2 linked regions of the Caenorhabditis elegans genome follow. The protein of the gene in region 1 purifies or fractionates together with the protein of each later gene. This does not show direct contact. Each region holds a gene or a part of one and is shown in the gene's direction. Other genes may lie near its edges.

Region 1 (8,603 bases):
ATCAAAACAAAAATTTTCAGTGACAAGGTGACTACTACCTACCAGAAGCAGTACACCGATATGACTCCATTCATCAAGAAGATCGTCAAGAACCACGTCAGAGTTCTTTTGTACTATGGAGATACTGATATGGCCTGCAACTTTATGATGGGACAGCAATTCTCTGATCAACTTGGACTTCGTAGAACACTTAAAAAGACTCCATGGAAGTATGATAGACAAATCGCCGGATTCAAGACACTTTTCGATGGGCTCAGTTTCATCACTATTCGCGGAGCTGGACATATGGCTCCACAATGGAGAGCTCCACAAATGTACTACGCCGTTCAACAGTTCCTGAATAATCATCCACTTTAAATTTGGAGAACAAATAATATTTTTATCTTCTTATTTATTTTTCAATCTATTGGTCAATTTTCCAAGTTTTGAATAATGAAATTTGATTTTTAAATTTTGTGATTTTCGAATACACTGAAATATTTTTCAGAAAGCTTCCAAATAACTGTAATCGGTTTACTCATATGACGTTTGGATTAAAATTTCAAGTAATTTCGATTAATAAAACTGATGTTCTACTTATTAATACGTTGTACCTTTGGAAATAGTCAATAAATAATTGGAAAGTCTTGTTTGTTCGAAAAAATATCGATTTGAAATCTCAAAAATGCCTTTTGTGGCACTTCCAACCAACATAGTTACTTTTTGTCCAATTTCTCAATAAAAATCGTATTAATTGAGCGAAAATACTACGAATTCAAAAGTTTACCATTCAAATTTAAATTTTCCTTTTTCCCGCCGATTTTCGCTACTTCGGCCATGTGCGAGTTTCTAGGCCACGCGGAAATGCACGGCGGCCACGTGGTCCGCAATTTTACGTACACGTCATTTCCGCGGAATTTCCAGTTTTATTTTCCGATTTTTCGCTTAAATTTTTCAATTCGAGATAAAATCAGTTTCATTTGCTAAAAAGAAACGCAAATTTATTTCAAAAAATCAATAATCTTCTTCTATTTGTTTTTCTATGACCGATTCTTTTGAGAATTTAATTTTTTTCAGCCGTTTAAAAGAGAAACCACTTGGGTCCAGTCAAAATGATGAATTTCGAAGTAAGCACAACAAAACGTAAGTTTGAAAATCAGAAAATATATGTAAACTGTGAAACATTTCAGAAATCGGAGTGGGGTTAACGACGTTCGGCTTCTTTTTCATATTTCTCGGAGTGCTGATGTTCCTTGATTCTGCTCTTTTAGCTATCGGAAATGTAAGTATTTATTGTAAATTTAAAGCATAAAATTATTATTTTCAGCTTCTATTCATTGTTGGAATCACATTTATTATCGGCGTGCAGCGAACACTTGTTTTCTTCTTCGAATTCCGAAAACTGAAAGGAAGCATTCTCTTCTTCGGAGGTTCGATCACAAGGAATTCATTATTTTAATTTAAAAATTTATTTTCAGGGATTTTGGTAGTTCTATTTGGGTACCCATTGTTCGGAATGATTGCCGAGTGTTGGGGATTTATTGTCCTTTTCGGGTGAGTTTTTGACTAAAAAATGTTGAGTTTTCTAAATATTTGCAATAGAATCAATATCTTGAATTTTCTGCTCTTTTTCTTCGATTTGTAACAAACATTTTGAACTAATCGCTCACGAAATTAAATTTAATCTAATAATAATGAATTTACAGTGGTTTCCTGCCTGGAATTGTCAATTTGCTCAGAAGTATCCCCGGAATCTCAACAATCACATATCTTCCTGGAATCCGACAGGTCAGTTCTAACGAATCAGGATTTTTATCAATTATTTCAAGTTTTAGGTCCTCGATCGCCTTGCTCCAGAATCCAAGTACCCCGTCTGAAAAGTTCAGGATCTTCCCAAAAATCTCACCAAAAATGGGTTCTATTTTCTTTTTTGTTGAAAATATTTTCTCCTGTGTTGTCCCTTCTCCTCTCATATCACGTTCGGTTCAACTACGATTTCGGCCAAAATGCACATTTTCTGTGTAATATTATTCAATTTTAATTTATTTATTATTAAAAATTTTAAATTTTATCTCATTTCTAAAATATCCCTCAGCCTTTGTTGTATAATACGCTTTCATTTTCTTCTGTTCCTAGGTGAAAAATGTGATTATAATTATTTATTAGATTCCCTTTTTTCCTTTTCTTGTGTTCTGACTCGATATCCATTACATGACTCATTTCGATCAAAAAAAATGATGTTCTATGCTTGTTCTTCAGATCAAACAAATCACGTTTTCACCACCAAAGAACTCATTTCGACGAAGGTTTCTTCTCCCTTCAACCTCTTATCTTTGTTGCCATTTTTAAGAATGACAAATCGAGAATACGAGACGCAGGGCCAACAACATCTCGTTATAAGAAACGGTCAACCCGATCAATTCACGATTTTAATTCAGTTTTCTACAGCTTCCTGTTTTCAAGCACTGCAGATTTGAAACAAAAACCTTGTTTTAAACTTAGAATCTACCTGAAAAGTCCGATAAAAACTGAAAAAGTTCTTACTCGTAGAAAAAATTATTTTTAAAAGAAAAAAAATGCAGAAATTGATGAAATAAGGTTAAAAACCAAATCAAGCATTTTTGAACATCATTTTGAAATAAAAAATTGAAAATTTACGGTATTGTGCATATTTTGTGCAATTAGAATGCGAAAACTTTGAAAAAAAACTTCCAAAGTTGAATTTTAAATAGAAGTTGCCTAATTTTCTTGAATTTTTCATTTTAAAGCATTGTTTCTATTACAGAAAATTAGATATTTCAGAAATGCTCAGTCGTCTAGTCAGCTCCGTCCATCCACAAATTGGGCTCCGTGCCGCTTCTTCTGCAGCCAACAATATTGTCAGTCAAGCTCAGCTTCAATCCGATCCTTCGAAGGTTGCTATTCAATATCCTTCTGAACGTTTTTTCCATAATTTTATAATTTTCCAGCTCCTCTTTATCGATGGCGATCGCAAAACGACTTATGGAGAATTTGTTAAACGAACTGGGCAATATGCAACTGCTCTGACTGAAAAGTACAATATAAAGGTCATTTTATCTTTAAAATTGTATAAATTCAACTTTTCAAATTCAAATTTTCTCAGAAAGGAGACCGTGTGATGGCTAGAGTATCAAAAACGACCGATACAGCTGCTCTCTACATTGCTTGTCTTCAAATCGGAGCACTCTATATTCCAGTCAATCCAGGATATACTGAATCTGAAGCTGCTCACTATATCAAGGATGCGACACCTTCGATTCTAGTCTCGTGCAATGAAGAATTGGATAAAGTTTTCAGAGATAAGATCAGGGTTATCAACGAGGATAAGTTGGCATCTGAAGCAGGAAGCTTGAATGTAAGCTGGAAAATATGAAAAATTTAATAATTTTCAAAAAAAAATTCAAAATTGAAAAAACCACAAATTCCTTGTGATGCTAATCAAGAAATATAGAAAAAAATATTAATTTTACTTTACAAATTCGTGAAAACTTGAGCCTCCAGTTTAAAGGGACACGATCTTCTTCTGCTTGGGTCTCGTCACGATCTCAGCCACCGTGCAGTATCTATTCTGAACGTTTTTAGAAAAAAAAATTAAAAACCAAAATTTTGACAAGAATATTAGGAAAATAGGAAAAGTGTTTGGAGTACAAAAGTGACTACTTTTTTTTGGATTTTTCGGTATCGAAATACCGATCAAACCAAAAAACGCCGTGATCGTGCCGAGACCCACCCGGAAAATATCGTGTGCCTTTAAACTGACATGTCAAAATTAAGTCAAAAGAAAACACAATATACATACTATCCATGCCCAATATTCAAATGCAACATTTTCCAGGCATGCACCATGATCGAACATGTCGAAAAATCGGATCCCGCATCAGTTTGCTACACTTCAGGAACCACCGGACTACCAAAAGGAGCAATCTTAACTCATGGATCATTGTCTAACAACGCACATGATATTGTCCGAGACTGGGGATTTACTGGAAATGATTATAATCTACATGCACTTCCATTCTATCATGTACATGGACTCTATTATTCCCTTCATTGCTCTTTATTCTCACATTCAACAATGATTTGGCGGTCGAAATTTGAAGTTGAAGATTGTATAAAATACATGAAAAATGCGACGGTTATGATGGGAGTACCAACATTCTTTTCAAGACTTTTGGCATCAAAGAATTTCAATAAAGAAGCATTCGGAAATGTTCGAGTATTCATTTCTGGATCTGCACCTCTATCAGTATCTACAATTGAAGAATTCAGGGAAAGAACTGGACAAGTGATTCTTGAAAGATATGGTATGACAGAAGCTGGAGTTATGACTACTAATCCATTGAATGGAGAGAGAAAAGCTGGAACTGTTGGCCCGGCTGTACAAGGAGTTGGATGTAGAATTGCAAAAAATGGAGGAATTGAAGTGAAGACAAATGCGATTTTCGCTGGATATTGGAAGAATCCAAAGAAGACAGCTGAAGAATTCACTGAAGATGGATGGTTTAAAACTGGAGATGTTGGACATCTTGATGAGGATGGTTATTTGACGATTGGTGGAAGATCAAAGGATATGGTTATTACTGGAGGATTAAATGTATATCCAAAAGAACTTGAAGATTTCATTGATACACTTCCATTTGTTAAAGAATCTGCAGTTATTGCATCTCCACATCCAGATTTTGGAGAAGCAGTTGTTGCAATTGTAGTCCCGTCGGAGAAGGTGACTGATGAGAAGGAGTTTGAGAAGAAGCTTATTGGAATTATGAAGAAGAAGGTTGCCAATTATAAGGCAAGTTTTTTTATTTAAAAAATAATCCGAAATTTCAAGATTTTTGCGCTAAAAATACGGTACCCGGACACGACAAATTTAAATGAAAAAGAGTGTGCGCCTTTAGAGTACTGTAATCTTGAAATTTCGTTGCATCGAATTTTTCATCGATTTTTTTTCATATTATGTCAAAATCTGTGCGTTTTTTTCAGTTCTATAATGAACGCATATTTTTATTCAAAAAATTATAGAAAATGGGTGAAAATTTCGCAGAAACAAAAATTTTAAGCTACAGTACTCTTCAAAGGCGCACACCTTTTTGTATTTGACAAAAAAAATTTCGCGTTTGGCTAATATTTTCTGCCATTTTTATTTTTTTGTTGTGAAACTAATCAATAAATGCAGAAAAACTTTAAAAAAATTGAATTCGTCTTGCTGTTTTCAATTTTCTTTTTCATTTTTTTTCTGTGTGCGCCAAGATTACTGTAATCTCAAATTTTCGTTAACGATGATTACTTACTTATTCAGTAAGTAATTTATTAATTAGAAGCACTAAAATAAAATTATGAAAAATCCCGCAGAAACTAAAGTTTTACGTTACAGTACTCTTTAAAGGCGCACAACTTTTTGCATTTAACAAAAATGTGTCATGTCGAGACCGGGTACCGTACTTTTGCGTCAAAAATCTCATAATAATCCCCTTAAAACTTTTTTTTTGAGTTTTCAAATTTCCATCGGACACCGCAATTCTCGTTCAGATATTTGTAATTTTTCAAGTTATAACAACCTGTTTTCAATCAACTTCTATAAAAAAAACATGTGATTTTTATAAATGTTTGATAACATACCTATTCTGCAAATAGGATACAAATATTAAAATCAAATTATCAAAGCTCAATGTCTAACATTTCAGGTTCCAAAGCGAGTGATTGTACTGGATGATTTGCCACGAAATCACATCACTAAGGTCCAGAAAAACGTTCTCCGTGACACCTACAAGAACCTCTTCGCCTAATTCCATTCCCAGTCAACAATACATCCCCAAAATATAGATATCATTTTTCTATTTTCAAATTGTAAATATTTCATAAGTATTGTAGAATCTTTTGTACAATTTTTCAACTTTTAACAGTAGAAAATAACAGTTGTTTATAGATATTTTTTGTTTCTATTGTTCTCCACACACTTTTAGGACGACGTTGTCCTCCTGACCCCGTAATCAGTCAGACTATTCTTAAGATGAGAGACATTTGATTATCAGATTAACATCAATGATATTATATATCTTGGCAACATCTTACGCGGTCAGTGTGTACCCGTTTTGGACATGTTGGAATCACGTGAAGCCCGTGAGAACTTTGGCTATAAAGAGAAGTGAAAAGACAAAAAGGAAGATAAAAAACGAAAGAGTATAGTGATTTATGACACAGATTTGCCCATGGTTTTTGCGAAACTCTTTGCCGAAACTCGATGTGTGATGTGCTAAATACTGTACTTCGAAATGCTTGTCAGCTTCCTTATGGTCTCACCACGAATTTTTTTGAATTGAAACTGCGGTGTGAGCCTTTAAAAAGTACAGTAACCACTTAGCCATTATTCCGCTTTTTTTGCAAATACATGCAAAATAAATCAATACCCAAGGAAGTCACAAAATTACGAGAGGTAGGTTACTGTACAACTTAAAGGCGCTTTCGAGAAGACCCAATTCGAAATGTTTTCATCGTGGCAGCAGCGGGTATCTTAATTTTGCAGAATTCTGAGATATCCTGTTAAAGGCGCACGGATTTATTCCGAGGCCCACCTGAACGAATCCGTGCGCATTTAAGTAGATATGTCTAGGTCCTACGAATATACAATAGCGTATTTCATGATTTTTACACGTCCAACATAAGCCTAAACCTAAAGAAAAGTAAGGAAATGTACCATTTTGCAAATTTTTCTATAAATTATAAATTTACTTTTAAGGCTCCCACTGCGGGCAAGTACGTCTTCAGGCGTGTCTACCTGTTCACATGCCTACTAGGTAGGCCCCGGGCAGGCGTCGTTCGCCTTGGAGGCTGGCAAAAATTGTCCTGAAAATAAACTTACAAATCTGGAATTGTTTAAAAAAACCATCCATAAGTTCCTCGAAGTAGTTCCCCATGCACCTAGTTTGAACCTGCTGGGATCAAAAATTCCGCTGTAAAATATCCAAACGGGAGCGTGAATGAATCATATACAATTCGTCAAACATCTCTCGGTCCAAAAAAGAAATACAAAGAAAGATCTATAACACTTGTTATTTCCCCCGAACAGTGGTTAGTCGCCACCACCCACGCGTAGGAATTTCTTCGAATTTGATAAGAGAGCTATTGAAAAAGAAAAAGGCGACTTTCAACTTTCAAAAATCAGAAAAATGTGACTTCGCCTTCAAAGTGATCATTTCAGAAGTATTTTCAATTGTAGAGAGTGTACATAAAATGGAGAGACATCATGGAGACCTGAAAGTTTTATAAATGGGAGGACGATGGACGGAGTGGTCGGACCTGGACGACGACACTAGCCATTGTTTTCTTCGTTTTAGTTTTTTTTTTCTGATAGCTGATAACTATTTTTTCTTTTTGTTCATATTTTTGAATGGGTCTTGCAGCGAAAAAAGTCCTTCGCTTATTTGAAATTTATTTTTGTTCTTGCTACTTTATCTTAACATTCCGAAGTGGGTGCACAAATGTATTCTACTTTCCCGACATTTGGGCAAAAATACGGTTCCCGGTCTCGACACGACAAAAAATGTAAAAATAAATATATTCTTATCGGGAATCTATCAAAAATTGATTAGTCTTCCAAAAAGCAAAATTACAGTACTCTTTATAGGCGCAAACCTCTTCGCAATAAAACAATTTGTCGTGGCGAGACCCGGTAATATAATTACATAATAAATTTTTGGGTCCTTAAGTACGCATTTTATAAAGTTGATAAATTATAGTTTAAACTTTTGCAGTTTGAAGCTTTGCTTTCACTCATTTTTCTTAAATTTTCTTACCTTATCAATTCCCCTTCTGCAACAATAAAGCTTCTGTAGAAGCCGTAAGGTGTCAAAGTGCATAAAGTGGATTCACGTGATTCATTCACGTGCCACATTCCGATACAGTAGTCAAGTGTGTGTCACGCCCCTTTTCCCGCGCCGCCCATCCGCGCATACAAATCTCCGCTGCCACACGCATTCATTCTCAATCAGATCATCTTTGATTCGCTGTCAATGGTTCTACGATGTCTGGCTCGATTATGGAGATCGTGTAGAAATGTTTAATCTAGAAGTTGGCAAAAAATAATGAAAAATTATTGCTTTTTGATTTTGTTAATAAAGAAGCAATAAACTATAGTTTTATTCTTCTTTTTGTTGTTTTCCCGTTATAAGACTAACCAATGAAATTCCAGATTCTAACCTTGCTTAATTAATTGAGGCAAAAAAAGTGCAGTCTGCAAACATCCCTACCTCGTGTGAAGGCGCAAGGCAGGCGTTTTGGCGCCTACTTGGAAGCCCGAGATTTAACTGATTTTAGTAGATAGACAATCTTTCGTAAATGCATCAGTTTTCATTGGAATTTAACCGCGTTGGCACACCTTGTATGCAGGCGTAGGTCGCTAGGCACGCGGTAGGCGTATGGATCTTGTAGGCAGGTAGGCAGACACGTATTTTTGCTACATGTTAATGTGTCGTTCGCTCATAAACTGCCTCCTCAAATGATAACTTTTTATCTCTTTTTATATAGGTGGTCTCTTTACATCAATGACCTTCCTCGATATTCCACGTCATTATTGTTTTGTTTAAACATGAAATTCAGTAAGTTAAAGG
Region 2 (7,600 bases), on another chromosome or scaffold:
AGCTCATAACAACGGGATCGCAGATATTTCAAACTTTTCGTTTCTTCTCTACATTCGTGACCGCATTGTTGACGCTCTACGGGACCATTTCAGCATCGTGACGCCAATGCGTCAGAAGAAGAAAATAGTTGAGCCTCCTCAGGAAATTTCTGATAGATATAATCCGTTTGACTATGAGTGGCTGAGCGGAACAGTTGTCTCTGGAAAGTATGTTGCATAAAAACTATATAAAGGTTAACTTTTATTAAAACATTTTTCAGATATCACTTTCCATTCATGAAATTTCTCGCTATTGACAGAATGCAGCAGCTTGAACTTTCCTACTATCGTGCTGTCATTGTAGCTTCTAAACGAAAGGAAGAACTTGGCTTTTTGAAGAATCTCCGAATTCCATTCCCACAATCAGCTGACAACGCGAACTTGCTTGACAAAGCACTTCAAACCAACGAGACAAAGCTTCGCCAAGACTTTTGCAGGATTTTGAAAATCTTGAAGAAAGAGAGAGGCCTTGACAAGACAAGGGCAGTATTGTATATCCAGAAGATGGAGCAATTTAACGAGTTGTGTGGTGTTGTGCGAAATAAGAAGAAGAGCACCATGGATCAAATCACTCATTGTGAACCTTTCAACATTAAACCAAAGCTTCGTTTTATTGCGGTCATGGCTTCGATTGACGCATTGTTGCTTGTTATTCAGAGAGTTTATGCTCTATTCGTTGACAAGGAAAAAGGAATATATGGCGAATGCGTGCCAGAATCGGTGAGAATAATGGGTTCATGAGGTGAATTTTGTTTCAAATTTTAGGTATTACTCACAGCGGCACAACTTCTCAAAATCACGACAGTGGAGCGTTGCCGAAATGACGACATGGACAAGGAAATCTCTGGAAAACTTGAAGTTCTTCGAGTCAAAGTACACAATGCCGTCAAAAATTTCTACATTAAGAAAGAGTCTATCAACCACGGCGTTTTTGTCGAACCGGATCACGATGAAGCTGCATTGAAAAAAATCAGATTTGAGTTGACCATTTCGGAAAACGAATTCCCTCCCATTGTGATGCACCATGCTTCTCGAATGTTGTGGCATCTGAGACAACAAAAAAAGGAGTTGAAACGTTTGAATAAGGAAATTCATTTCGCAAAAGCTGCCGAACTTTTATGGCCAAAGATAGAGTAAGTTATTTTTCATCGGAGATAGGATATTAAAAGAGGAGGATAGGTTCTGGATTTTTTGGTTGCACAGATAGGCAGATGATTCAAAAAACCAAAATCAACTAGTTTCAAAATTGCATTTCTCACAAATATCTGAAAAAATTAAATGGCCTAAATTAAGCTAATATCTCCTTTTGCCAAATTTCCCGCGTCACAACTGTCCGAATTTTGCTTGTATTAAGTTATCCTTCATTATTGCATACTTTGGGCGTTTATCTCAAGTTATTTAAAGCATTTAAAACCGATGGGTATCCAAAAAGTACCAAAACTGGATTCCAATCGGCATTGTATGTACTTTAATTTACAAAATATAGTGAGAAATACACCCAAAATATGCAATGAAAGATGATAAAACAAAAAAATCAAATTCGCTCGTCTGCAACACGGAAAATGTTTTTATTTGAGCACATTTTGTTTCTAAAATACCCAGAACTAATACTCCTCTTTTCATCGGTGTTAGAATAATAATAATAATTGAATGTTAATGGAATTTTTTTTCAGTGGAGTCATGTTCCAGCTGAACAAAGTACCTGGAATCTGTGCCTTCGTTTCAAACTTTGACGATCATGTTGATCGAGAAAAAGTGAAGGAAGTAATTGCCGCATCAGAACTCGACTGGATGAACCCTGAGCCAGAGTTTCGTGCGGGTGTCGAAATTATCAACGGAATTCATCATATCATGGACAAGTATCGCGGCGTACCACACTGCGTTGAGATCCGAGCAACATTGGAAGCAGAGTTCCACGCAGAAATGCATTTTCAACGCATCAATGGGCAGACTTACAAACAACTTGCGGCTCAGTTCTCGCAGATTCTCATTCAAGAAATTGATCTCACAAATTCTAGAATCAGATATCAAACTAAAATGCAAACAGCTTACCTTGCTCACAGAATTGCCAGAATGATGGCTGGGACTTACATGGATTATGTGTGTAACAACATGAAGAACCCGCCGTCTAGATGCCGTGTAAGAACTCCAACACCAATTCCAGAAGACGATCTTCCAGAAGACACAGCTGAAGGCTCCGAAGAGGGTAGAGAATCTGAAGAGACTGGCTCGGAAACCGGATCGGATTACGCAACAGATGAAGGACCAAATGTCGGACGTCGTCGGGTTAGACGAAATGTAGAATTGGAAAGCGATGATGATGATGAAGATGAAGAGGAAGATGAAGAAGAGGAGGACGGCGTTGAGCGTCAATTTGATCCCGAGGAGGCCGCCAGAGTTGCATTCCTTCTCAATACGTTTTCTATGAATGGAAATGTCATCTTCGTGGAGAATGAAGGTGACGTAGAAGACGATCGCGTTCCAGATGACGTGATTGATAACTTCATTCGCAATGTTCGCAGAGTGCACATGGAGCCGGATATGTCTGCACCATATTTGAATATCCCACTTGATTAATATCTTTTTTCGCTGATTGAATATCATTTTGTTTTTGTTCTACATTCTTTTGTTTCCTCAAAATCTCATCACAACGTATTTCATGCTCAAAAAATTTACCATAATTCCCCACGAAATTTGTAGACGTATAATTTTATCGGATACCACATTTCCAAACTCATCATACACCCCCATCTTCAAATGTGTCTAATTTTATATTGTCCGGTTAGGCTTATTGAAACCAAAGACCTAGTGAGCTTTTTATTATCATTTCCTCTTTTGTTCCATACTCTTTCCCATTGTTTCATGACAACATCCATTGGTCAACGTTCCAAAGTGTTTGGCGCACTGAAGTACGATTTACGAATCAAGTTTTTGGTACCCCAAAAATGATTTGTTATTACTTTGAAATAGAATGCAAAAATAAATTTATTACGTCGGAAATTCATAAATTCAGATGTTTATTACTAATTCTTGTTACTAATTCTTGATCAGTTTGGAAATGTGGAGTTATATTGAAAGTTGAATATTCTGACTGTAAAATATTTTACAAGTCTCGAATTAGAACTAATTCACATGACACGTTTATTTTTAGTTCGAATGGATATTAAGAAAAGTTAAAATAAGTCAGTTTTCGATCTGAAATAAGCAGTTCATTTAGGATTAGCAAGATTAGTTTTCAATAATTTATTGACTTCAAGTAATTTATGTCAAAATTTTTCTTATGTTTTCAGTGTATCAACATATTCACATTTTTTCACATTGTGCAAACTTAAAACTGGTGAATTAAAGTTAACAGGCTTCAACTCGCGTGCCAAGTTTCGGAATGTTTTGTTTGAACCTGAAAAGTGCTGCAACTGCTAATGTAATTTCATTAGTAATTTCGGCAATTTGGGCCCGAAAATGAGCATTGCCGAAAATATAAAGTTTCAAAATTTCTGAAGATTTTAAATCGAATAGATGTTTTTTATATCAGAATGCTCAGTATTCAAGTTCAAATGTCTCAAACCTCAAATTAATAGGTAATTTTTGAAATAGCAAACGGTATCCAACATCCAACAATTACGGCCTTTGTCATGCACTTTTTAGAAATGAGCAAATGCAAAACTTTTCAAAAATTGATTTGAAATTTCCTATTTGCACAACAAGCTCAAAATTATATTGACATAAATTCCAAGTTTGTATCACGAGCATGCTCATTATGAAAGACACCAATTTCAGATCAATCTTATGATTCTAATTGTCATTGTGTTTATTTGCTCGTTCTCCATCATCAACAACATACTGGGCGGACGTTAATTTGTAGCCAACTATCAGTCAATTGATAAGATACCCCACACAATTGGTGGCTCTTTTCTTTTTGTCTGACAGTTGAACAGTCACTCTGGGTTTTTCTTTTTACAATTTGATAAGTTCTGTATTGATTTTTATCATTAACATTTTAGAATGAGAACATTCTCAGTTGCACTGCTGCTTGTCTTTTTTGCGTCGAGCGTTTCATCCGTTCGCTACTACTCCCTTGCTGACACCTTCCAGTCAGTAATTGATACGGAAAAGGCATTGGAAGAAGAACTGAGAGTTAATTTTGAAAATGCGAGAGCAGCAAGAGACAAATACCGGGAAGAGACTCAGAAGAAACTGAACGAAACGCTTTCAAAGGTATCTGATGCAGTTAAGCAGAGAGCCGATGAATTGGAAAAGGAGAAACAGGTCACAAATCAAAATTTAAATATCAGTTTTCTTATGATTTTTTTCAGGAAAAAGCTGAAGCCAAGAAAAAGGAAGCCGAAGCAGCGATCGAGAAATGGAAGGAGGTTTCTCAACAAGTTGGAGAATTCGTCGAGTCAGTTAAGGAAAAGAAACAAGCCAAGGAGCAAGAAAAACAACAGGTTACTATTTAAATTTTAAATTTTTTGGATTATTATTTCAGAAAATTGATGATTTTGTGAAAACTTTTACGGACAAAATCAAGCAAAAACAAGAAGAAAAAGAAGCACAGAGGCAGGAGCAAATTGAGGTATAAATCACAATTTATTTAAAAAATTGAAATAAGAATTTGAAGTAATGACGCTTTATTTGTATTAAGATATTACTAACTACTACTTGGTTTTTCTTTATAAATGCTCATCTTATTCTAGAAATGGAAGCAAGCCTCTGAGAAGCTTCAACAACAAAGAGAAGAGTTGAAGCAACAAATCGATGCAGCCAAACAAAAGCTTGATGAAAGAAGAAAACAGAAACTGGAGGAATTGAAAACCGATTTGGCTCAAGTCAAAGAGCTGGTAACTGCTGAGGTGAAGCGTCGCGTTGACGAGAAAAATCAACGGCTTGGCGAACAAAGAGAAAATCATGAAGCTTTAAAGCAACAGATCAATGTGAGTTTTTGGCAATGTCTTCCAACTGATTTCCCATCTTGATTTCAGGATAAACTTGCTGATATTGAGCAGCAGGGGAAGAATGTTGGTGATCAGGCAAAAACATATGAGCAGAAGAAGGATGAACTTTCGGATCTTATTCAGGTAATTTAGGGATTTTAATGTCTTCATGCAATTTTTGATATCAGGATCTAATCGGGCAAGGTGTTAAGGATAAGATGGCCAACCAAATTTCGGACAAGCTTCAGGGTCAACTTGACAAGGCAGCCTTGAAAGAAGTTTTGAACGAGAAGAAAGTTGAACAAGCTGGAGCCCCACCACCGGTTAATGAGATCCCCGTTGATATTGCTCCGAAAGCAACAATTCTTGACGAGTTAGTTACTTACTATTAGCATCGAGAAATACCTAAATCACGATTTTCAGAATCACCGGAAAAGCTGCATGGGAGACTGTAACCTGGGTTCTTCTTGCTCTGTGCATCCTTCTTTCAATCGCCTTAATCATTATCATTGTTTATCAAGTCAAACAACGCTCTGTCTACGAACGGCTCGACGGCAACAACCAGGTTTACAATCCAACATCAGAAAGAGCCCCACTTCTTCCACCACCAGCAACTCCAATAACTGCTCTACCACTGGCTCCTGCCAAAGAAGAACAGCAGTTTTAAACTTTGTTCGATAACCATGTGATTGTATTATAAAATTGTTTGCACATTGTTTTGCCATTTTTCACGTATAAATTTTTTGATTGATCCTGGTTATTATTAAAAACAAAACAAATTAAGGGAGCCTGTTAGTGTTAAAATTTGGGAACCAAAAATTATAATGCCACGTCAACTTCAAACATTTTCAAAAAACGAAATAAATAATTTCAAGAATACATATGTATTGAAAATTAAGAAGGGAACCAATTTTCTAAACAATCTCAACGGAAGTTTTTAATGAAAGTTTTGATTTTGGAATGTTTTAAAGGCAATGCACGTTGCCGTATGCACGTTGTTTAAACTCATTTACATTAATCTTACATGCAGCGAAAAAAACGCATTGAAAAAATTCAAAACATTTTTGGTGGGATGACAAATTTTAAAACAAAATTTCCGTTTTTCAAAAAACTTTTGTCGAATTCCAAAGGTTTAATATTTGCAAACCGAATAACTGCCACATTCCATCTGTAAATTTAAACAATTCAGAACATTTCTGAAAAGTTTCTCGAATTTCTCATTGGTGCTGCTTTACCTTTGCCATTATTAACTCGTCAAATTACAAAATAACTTCCGCAATCGGAGACTTGAGACTTGACAGCCGAAAACCAAATTCGATTATAACTGAACTGTACGATTTTGGTTATAGTTTGTATTTTTTTTTGTACTTTAATGACGTAAATTATCGTCATATTATTCTGCTCGATGAGCAGTTCCCAAGCATGTGATCAGTCTGTTTAAGAAATCATAGAAACATTAAGAAATCACTACAAACTAGATGATAGACATCTAAAAATATAATCAGTTGTGACTTGTGGTTGCCCTTTTATTATTATGATTATTATGGATTGTTGCACGTTGAATAAAATGACTGAAACAATATGTAATTTGAACTCGAAAATACGTTCAGAGGGATCTTTTTTTCAGAAGCATTGTAGGTAGATTTTGTAATACTTAGAAACCTATTAGCATTTGAGTATAGTTTTTTATATCTACTTGTTTCACCATCTTAAAATTCATTTTTGATTATTTCAATAGAACACATGTTATATCCTCTATTAGTTTTACTGTCTCTATTAGTTGTGCACCCCTATTAGCCTTGCACCCTTACAAGCCAATCGAAAATTAGTCTTGCAGCCTCTATCAGTATTGTAGTCTCTATTAGTCTTGCGCCCCTACGGACAAATTGAAAATTAGTATTGCAAGACTAAAAGTCTATGCAAGACTAAAAGAAAAAATACGGTAAGCTTTATCTGGAAATACTAGCGCTTAAATTTTTTTAAACCTTTTTTTTTTTCGTGTAAATAAGTTTTGTTCCATTTTATTGTTCCCTAAAATTGAAAAGATTTCAATTTCGACATACAAGGTCGATAACGTTCTTGATCACGTCAGACTTTGACATAGCTATTTGTAAAAACAGTTCCAATTACTCGATTCTTGGTATTCCTATGTAGTAGTACTACTCGTCAAACAAATTCTTCTTCCGACATGAGAAACATAAATTCGGAACGACTTCTGTGGCCTTGCCTTCTATTTTTCCATTTTCTGAGTACGATGCATCTTTTTTTGTTCTTGATATCAGTTCTATTTGACGGCCACCGTCTTAGTTTTTGTCTTGTGTTGGGCATTTGCAAAAACTACGAAAAACTATCAACGATGGAATGAAAGAAAAAAGAAATAACATTTCCTTCACTCTAACACAACTTCGGTTTCCCTTGTTTTAAAAGATGAGTGACCGACAGCCAATGAAAGCGGGTAGTAGACAGAAACAACTTACGGTGTTTGATTTACTCAAAAATAAATCAGATCACACCGAAACACAGATTCATGAAACTTGGTTAATTCTGATAGTTGAATCTAAACGTAACCTTGAAAAATGATTGAAACCCTTTTTTATGGGTGGCGGATACTAGGGTTGTAACGGAGGTAT

Evidence for each region. Proteins that work in one complex are often made in the same cells at the same time.
Region 2: the proteins of acs-11 (region 1) and lro-1 fractionate together in Caenorhabditis elegans (co-fractionation; one large-scale study listed by BioGRID). This does not show direct contact.

The regions. Positions count from the first base shown.
Region 1 is NC_003280.10:4,739,356-4,747,958, forward strand, and holds acs-11 (fatty Acid CoA Synthetase family), read left to right. Parts: upstream 1-2,781; 5' UTR 2,782-2,783; coding exon 2,784-2,894; intron 2,895-2,948; coding exon 2,949-3,047; intron 3,048-3,103; coding exon 3,104-3,355; intron 3,356-3,835; coding exon 3,836-4,789; intron 4,790-5,681; coding exon 5,682-5,783; 3' UTR 5,784-5,925; downstream 5,926-8,603. Other genes in the region: Serine carboxypeptidase ctsa-1.1, read left to right, coding at 21-357; eas-1 (putative Golgi transport protein 1), read left to right, coding at 1,092-1,122, 1,170-1,261, 1,307-1,409, 1,458-1,533, 1,686-1,767, 1,815-1,856.
Region 2 is NC_003284.9:6,268,049-6,275,648, forward strand, and holds lro-1 (Lysosome-Related Organelle protein), read left to right. Parts: upstream 1-4,040; 5' UTR 4,041-4,041; coding exon 4,042-4,305; intron 4,306-4,352; coding exon 4,353-4,484; intron 4,485-4,525; coding exon 4,526-4,612; intron 4,613-4,733; coding exon 4,734-4,970; intron 4,971-5,018; coding exon 5,019-5,114; intron 5,115-5,158; coding exon 5,159-5,343; intron 5,344-5,393; coding exon 5,394-5,637; 3' UTR 5,638-5,720; downstream 5,721-7,600. Other genes in the region: W05H9.2 (Dynein heavy chain 7, axonemal), read left to right, coding at 1-207, 261-759, 805-1,172, 1,713-2,616.